2 linked regions of the Daphnia pulex genome follow. Each later gene encodes a partner of the first gene's protein in a complex. Links are inferred from orthologs where the notes say so. Each region holds a gene or a part of one and is shown in the gene's direction. Other genes may lie near its edges.

Evidence for each region. The genes of interacting proteins can lie anywhere in the genome.
Region 2: integrin alpha-PS2-like (region 1) and LIM and senescent cell antigen-like-containing domain protein 1 share a complex: the UniProt entries of both Caenorhabditis elegans proteins name them as parts of the integrin containing attachment complex. The link is inferred for Daphnia pulex from reciprocal best matches to the Caenorhabditis elegans genes pat-2 and unc-97.

The regions. Positions count from the first base shown.
Region 1 is NC_060022.1:1,631,125-1,634,746, forward strand, and holds the end of integrin alpha-PS2-like, read left to right. Parts: coding exon 1-596; intron 597-666; coding exon 667-894; intron 895-1,064; exon of another isoform or gene 1,065-1,136; intron 1,137-1,279; coding exon 1,280-1,378; 3' UTR 1,379-2,984; downstream 2,985-3,622. UniProt on the Caenorhabditis elegans protein: Required for muscle development probably through the regulation of the actin-myosin cytoskeleton. Component of an integrin containing attachment complex, which is required for muscle maintenance.
Region 2 is NC_060026.1:14,674,691-14,679,022, reverse strand, and holds LIM and senescent cell antigen-like-containing domain protein 1, read left to right. Parts: upstream 1-1,469; 5' UTR 1,470-1,610; coding exon 1,611-1,900; intron 1,901-1,980; coding exon 1,981-2,085; intron 2,086-2,146; coding exon 2,147-2,259; intron 2,260-2,325; coding exon 2,326-2,518; intron 2,519-2,578; coding exon 2,579-2,720; intron 2,721-2,781; coding exon 2,782-2,898; intron 2,899-2,962; coding exon 2,963-3,104; intron 3,105-3,168; coding exon 3,169-3,374; 3' UTR 3,375-3,820; downstream 3,821-4,332. Other genes in the region: protein SAND-like, read right to left, coding at 1-148, 212-348, 409-792. UniProt on the Caenorhabditis elegans protein: Component of an integrin containing attachment complex, which is required for muscle development and maintenance. Probably function in adherens junction.

The DNA.
Region 1 (3,622 bases):
CATCTTCCTATTCGTCCAGCAGCTCATCCGGCAGCTCATCATCCGGCGGAAGTGGCGCCAGTAAATCAAGCAAAACAACTTATTCCTCCAGCAGTTCTTCCGGTGGTGGTGGCGGTGCCAATGCCATTTCGTCCTCGTCGTCATCCTCAACGACATCTGTCGACGGGAAACCCAAAACAACTTCGACTTCCTCTTCCTCCTGGAACCGGACGTCGACGGTAACCCGTTACAATCCCGACGGCACTGTCCAGTCCAGCGTGACCAGCCAAAACAGCGGAGTCGGAGCTCCTGGACAAGTGATCCCTGGCCAAATCTTTGACGAAGAAGAGGATTACGATTACGACGAAGAACTGGACCAACAGTCGACCCAGGGACGGAGGAGAAGACGCCAGGCACCGATGAACTTCCAGCACGGAAGGAACACGAAAAATCGCGTTCGCAGTCGTCGCCAAAGCCAGTCGAAGGATCTGGACAGGGAATTGAACTGCGGAGCGACTCAGTGCACCGTCATCAAGTGCTCGGCTGGTCCCATCACTTCCAACAACAACGTCGTGTTCAAATTGCGCGCCAGAATTTGGGCTCAAACCATTTCAGAGGTAAAAATTTCTGATTAAATTGTTAAGTTGGAATTCGGTTTATAGTTGAATGAATATTGATTGATTGCAGATTGACTGGGAGGATTTGGTGATTTCATCAAAGATGGTGGTGGATATCAACGAACTTCCGTACGGTGTCGATCCTGGCTACCTTCCTCTACGCTCTGCTACGGTGACGACTACGCTGGATCAACTGGATCGGGAACGAGAAGCTAAAGCTATCCCCTGGTGGATCATTGTTCTGGCAGCCGTGGCCGGAGTATTGCTTCTTCTACTCCTCATCTTTGTCCTTTGGAAGGTAAAATTTAAACTTTTTTTTTTCTTTTTTTTTCAAAATTCTTTTTGTTTAGTTTTATTTTTTTTTAAATCTTTATTTAAAGTTAAATTAAAATTGGGTTGAGTAGTCATTGTAGAAGAAAAGAACGCTTAGTCTGTTGAGAACTAAAAAATAATTTTAAAAAAGTTGTTTGACCACGACGTGATTCGAACACGCAACCTTCTGATCTGGAGTCAGACGCGCTACCATTGCGCCACGCAGTCATATCTTTTAAAGATTTTAAAGTCTCCCAAACCGGCTGATAAGACTAGACTTAGAAACCTTGTTGTGACCGTATAAAATAGTTCCCCCTCTATTTTTTAAATATCATTCTACATTACCCCTATCTTTTCTTTTAATGTTACAGTTGGGCTTCTTCGAACGGAGTCGACCGGATAAGGACGAATGCGAGCAGGAGCCGCTCAAGTCGGAGAACGGCCATTTACAGAGGGACGAAGCCCTTTAAATAAACTCGTTTCAACTTTTGGAACTTACTTCGAGTCTGCCAGAGATGCCGTTATCCAGCCGAATCAACACACAATAGGACTCTACATGTGTACAGTATGTATTTAGACTGGGCTTTATATAGGGCCACGTTATTAATCTTCCTTGAAAAAAGAAGTAATGGACAACAAAAACTCTTCTGACTTTATTTCTATTCTTCCCCCCCCCTCTATCCATTGTTCACATGATATGACCTTTTGTTTCTGTTGTTGCGATGCGTATTGTTGTTGAGAGACGACAGTAAATAGTAGCTCGTCATGTATATTATTGACGCTACTCTATACTTGTTACGTCGAATTTGAATTGTACTTTAGAAATCTAATGAATTTTTTTTTAATCACCATCGATCATCGGCTAGCTTATACCAATTAAAAGATTACATTTGTGGTGGTGCCCTGCGTTTAAAATGGATGCTATTACGATGACTAACGAAATGAATGAAACCATCAGCAATTTATACAAGCACAAATGTGTTGGGGGCCTCTTTAGCTTATGATTTGGTGCTCAACAGATTGACGAACAAAACCCCTTTTTTATACAGAGAGATTTTTTTTAAATAAGAGAGGTCCCCCTCCCTTTAGTTAAATTGGGCGGCTATTCATTTATTTTTGTCGGTCAGCATCCCGCTGTGAATCGCCTTTTCAATTCATTTTTGTAATAATTTTCTTCGAGTGAGTTTTTATTTTCAACAAAAAACCAAAATGTGTGCGTCCTGCTCTAATGTTTCCATTATATTTCGATCGTCTCCATATTGATTCAACTCCATCGTTCATAATTAATACTCCCCAATCGCCTTGTTGGTCGTGTTTCATCTGCCTTCGCCTGCCAAGAAAAAATTGCGTTTCGTCGTCCAATTTTGCTGCTTATTTTTGGATTGAGTTATTATTTTTTTGATTCGTGTTGACTGGCTGTGTCGTACCTCAACGGTCCATGTTCTCACTTTTATTGCCCATCTCCGACGATATCTGAAAAGCCAGGCCTTTTGACTTTGATAACATTAATCCGAATAATGAATTAATCTCCCTTGACGATCTTCGTTAAAGATGTCCAACAGCCAATTGTACAAAAGGGAAAACTGTGGGTTTGTTTTTAAAAAGACGAGTGTTGATTGACTTTTATAACTAAATTGAGCCATGAACTTTGTTTAGAGACCAGCGGTCGTGTTGACTTAAAATATTTGAGCTAGCCTTTTTTTTATGATTAACAAATGGGACAGTTTGATTGATTTTCTTTATTGAATTCCCCTTTCAATGAATTATTAATATATTGCCGCGTGACAATCCTGTTTAACGACCCTCCAATTGTGCGACCGTCTACGGTGTGACGATGGATGGGTCTCGATGCGAGTGCTGTTTGTGTGTCTGTGACTTTGTTGAAAAAAATATCACGATAATATTCTAATTTTAATTAATCAGTGTCATTTCTATATATATAATAATAATTTTCGCTCGACTCTACTGATGATATCTGCTGCTGGCTGTAAATGTAATTTTCTTCTTATTTTTTATTTTTATTTTTGGTCGACATGTCATCACAGAGAACAATAAAAACTAACTAGTCCTCGTGAATTTAATCTCGTCTGACCTTGATTGATATGCTCTTCTTCTTTTTAGGTCTTATCTAGACTGGCCGTTTTGAAAGAAATGTCGAATTGTTTCTAGTTGAAACGCGATTTTTGTCACGTCCCGACTTAGACATCGGTGTGATTATAATCCCCCCCACACACATCCTGAGCTGCAAGACGAACGTCCTGTATGTTGTAACGCCGGGCAGCTTTTGAATCCCTTCAAAAACGGAACGGTGACCGTCGACGAATAAGGACGGACGGATGAACCCTGGCGTCGTCCGTGCGAAAAATTCCGTGAGTGCATGGACCCACAGCCCCGTGAAAAGAAGAAAAAGAAATGGAAGAAATGGACAAACTAATCGGATCGGATGAGTAGTACGTAAACAGGGAAAGGTTAAAATATCTGGTGATTATATATTTGTGTGTATGGCAACAGCCAAACTCTCATTTGGAATGCTGTTGATGTAATCTCCACATCGGCGGAGTGATGGTTCGCTATGTGTTACACACACACCCGTCGAATGATCCAGCACAACGTGACTATCCATAAGACGAGAGCCGCTGAGACTGGTCTTGTGTATGCCGACTGCATCATAAGGTTCACAGCACGTGAAGTCTTAGCCCCATCGTTCGATCTGC
Region 2 (4,332 bases), on another chromosome or scaffold:
TACCAAAATAAGAGGTGTTTTGTGTAGAAAAACAAATTTGGTATCACCAGCCAAAATCATATCCATGGAGTCTTCCCCATCTTCCACAAATGAAACAAGTGCCTGCATCACTCCAAATAAGGTAACAAGCTGCTCCTCATTTCCATGTCTGTAATTTAAAAAGGAAAACAATTAATTATAAAAAATGACAAATAGCTAATTCAAACCCAACCTTGTGTAGATGGGTTTTCCTGCTTCACTCAAGACAAAGAAATGTTTCTTTTGATTTTTCCACAGCAAGGAGTCTGATCCACTCTCTTCATCACCAGCAGCAGCTGGCAGGGAATTTTCTTCCAAGATTGATGAAGCCTGATTCATTAATGCTTTTTAACAAATCTTGAGGGGAGATTATTACTCAGTAAATCTCACATTGGTTGTACGTGATATGGAATCCTCATTTTGATTGCTGAAAGACTCTCGTTCTAAGTAGACCCTGGGCCGTACAAATTGTTGGTCTTGGTTATTGGAGACAAGATCTGATTCAAAAATCAAATCAGGTTGAGCTTCAACGGCAATTTCTAATAATCCGACATCACCGTTCTGAAAACCATCAGTACAACCGGGGTCTGCAGGAGGTTGTATGTTTAAGCTCACATCATTGGAATCACTATTTGTTCTGGTACCGCTTAAATTATTTAGACTTTCATATGGATCACTGCTGTCAAGAATTCCATGACTGGAGCTAGTAGCTGCATCAAAATTGTTAACCGAATTCGAAACAATAATTTCGCAATCTACTACTTCTGAAGCCATGTTTACTATCAAAATTATGCTTCTTACATCACCTGGCGGCGTGTTTTGAAGGGGCGTGTACAGAGGGCGGCGTTTAATGTCAGATGTCACAATAAAATGGGTTGAAGTTCCGATAATTGAAAAACGTCACAAATGCAGAGAAAATTAATTTTACAAAGGTAATGGTGTGCTTTTTATATACTGATATCGAAAAGACAACAATTAATTAATCGAGTTCGTTGAATGACCACCAGATGGCTCTACAAGTCAATCAAAACATTATAATACGGACCGGATGCAGTAAATCGTGGATTTAGAAGATGCGGTAAAATGATAAAGAAAAAGAAGGGAAATGTCTAAAACAACGATTTCGAAATTCGTCGGGGCTCAATCCGAATTAAGGTAAATTTTAAAAAATGCGAGAACCAAATGTTAATTTTTTTACAAGGAATTTTATCAATTTTAGCACATAGTATTTTTGCGTTTCTCTTAGCTTTTTTCCCGCATTTTAGTCCCTTTCACTTTTTTCACAAAATTATCTCCTTATTTGGGCTGATCTCTGAACGGGCGCGGTTTGTGTTGGTGTTAGCACCCGATTTCGTCCACAGGTCTCTACAATCTGTTGAAGTTCTTATAGTTATTGAGTTTATTTTATCGTTGTGTTCATTTCAAATGCCGCCTGGGTAAGCTATTGATAAGATAAATACTATTACTGATATTAATAAGCTCTTGAAGTGGCCACACATGAGATAACACATTTAGTTATCAATTGCCGTTCTTCACCCCATAAATTGCTGGACATTTCGGTTGTGTTCACTGAAGAAACTCCATTTTTCACCATGGCAAAAAGACCTAACATTCTTGTTCTTAAACCCTTTGAAAATAGTAACCTTTACCTTAGAAGAATGGAGGATAAGATGAAACCAAGTGCAAGTGCAAGTGAAGTAAATGAACTTGAGGGTTTGCTTGAAGACCTTACATCTAATGATGTTCCGAAGGGAATTCAAAATCAACCACTTCCTCAGATACCTAGCTTGAATTCAGTTCAAACTTACATTTTAAAAAATACTTATGCTAACAGCCCTCCTAAACTTCCTTCTAGAAACCTTAAACCTAGTAATATTGATAGGTATTGTGGTTTAACAGTTAGTATAGTAGATTTCACACATTCTGAATTTCAAGAAACTAATAATGGTTTGAACTTTAAAGCGATATGTACAAGAACACCCAATGTGTGAGGTGTGATTATGGTTTTGAGCCTCATGAAAAGATTGTCAATACAAATGGAGAGCTGTGGCATCCCCAGTGCTTTGTGTAAGTACTCACACCAACATTTTTACTTGAAATTGAATTCTAATTTCTTAATCTTTCACAGGTGCGCTCAATGCTTTCGCTCCTTTCCAGAAGGAATTTTTTACGAGTTTGAGGGTCGCAAGTATTGTGAGCATGATTTTCAGATGCTCTTTGCTCCTTGTTGCGGTCGCTGTGGTAAGCGTTAAATCGATTGACTAATTCATAGATTTTTAAATAATAACGCATTTTTTGTATTCTTAGGTGAATTTATCATCGGTCGTGTTATTAAAGCAATGAATGCCAATTGGCATCCCAAGTGCTTCCTCTGCGAGATGTGTGACAAAGAACTAGCCGACCAGGGGTTCATTCGTCACCAGAATAAGGCACTCTGCCACGATTGTAACGCTCGAGCAAAAGCCGCCAGCTTGGGAAAACATGTCTGCCATAAGTGCCAGTAAGTGCTGTGTATAGTTGAAAATTTCATCGGAATCTAAGGATCATTATTTTTATTTAGCTCTATGATTGATGATCGTCCGCTACGTTTCCGTGGCGAAGTCTATCATCCTTATCATTTCAACTGTTCGTCTTGCGGAATCGAACTCAACGCGGACGCACGTGAAGTTAAAAGCAGACCAGGTTTCACCGCTAATGAGATGGTATTTCACATTATTTTTTAACATTTAATATCTTTGTGACAATTGTTTAAAATTTACACAGAACGAGTTGTATTGCTTGAGATGCCACGACAAAATGGGTATTCCAATTTGTGGTGCTTGCCGTCGTCCAATTGAAGAGCGTGTCGTTACGGCGTTAGGAAAGCATTTTCATGTTGAGGTATAAAACTTAATGAAATCATCACAGGGATTAAATTTACCTATTACAATGGATTGATTTGTAGCATTTCGTATGCGCCAAATGCGAGAAACCGTTCTTGGGTAATCGCCATTATGAGAAGAAGGGTCTTGCCTATTGCGAAACCCATTATCATCAGCTTTTCGGCAATCTTTGCTTCGTTTGCAATCAAGTTATTGGAGGAGATGGTAAAGCATTTTATACATGTTCTTCTTTTAAGACATTAACACCTTGATTGGCTTTTCTTTTCAGTGTTTACCGCATTGAACAAAGCCTGGTGTGTTCACCATTTCGCTTGTTCGGTTTGTGACACAAAAATGTCGCAGAAAACCAAGTTCTACGAATTCGACTTGAAACCGACTTGTAAAAAATGTTTCGATAAATTTCCGGCTGAACTTCGGAAGCGTTTGAAGAAAGCTTACGAGACTAGCCCGAGGAAAAGCTCTGCAGCGAATTAGTATGGGAAAAATAAGTAACGAATCAACATAATTGGATTCGTTTTTTTTTCCGGCTCTTGTTTACCTTTTAATATTCTTACTCCTAGTAAATTACTAAATTGATAAATATGCTGAATTTTAAAATTCTTTTTCCTTCACAAGGTGCCTTGCTTTTACTGTATCAAAGATAAGACCACAAACTTTTTAATTACAAGTTAAGCGATTAATGACTTTACGTCTGCCGATTAGAGTAAGTACAAGAATTATTCATATTTAAATTCTACAGGATTTTCGTGTTTTTTTACTTCACTTCTCGCTTATTTCTGTAAGCTACAGTCACACTTTTAAAATGTTTCCCTCATTGAAATCACTTTCAAGTTCACAAAAAACAACAAAATATCTTAACAACTGCTGACGTGTCTTCCGAATAATGATTTTTAAACATGTAATAAACTAATAATCTCACAGTAGCGTTTACAATTTTATCAATGCGTTCACAGGTCATGAATGGGAAAAATCTGTTGTTCAAGATGCTAAGACAGACATTTACCTAAATGATAAGATCCACAATCATGATAGGTCACAAAAGAGAAGGCGCTCAAAATAGTCATGTAATAACTAAATTTCGATATTGATTAAATTTTAAGTTAATGCCGCTGCCGACGCAACGGAGATAAAGTTAAATTGAAAATGACATGAAAACTCATAAGAAGATATTACTTTTGAAATATGCACTGATGATATGAGATCAGTTAACCCGGCTCTTTATAATTTATTAATTCAAGTTTGTCTTGTTAGAAAATAGAGAAATAATCAAATTCGTTGTCGAGAATTGATCTTTGGAGAATTTGGACAAAAATGTAAAAATCTCCATTCTGTTGTAGGGTGAGCTAATAGCTAATAGCCTTTGGCGATTTTGGTGACCTTTTTTTTTGGAAATCATTTGTGAACAAAGTACGACGACTTATGAACGCACCCC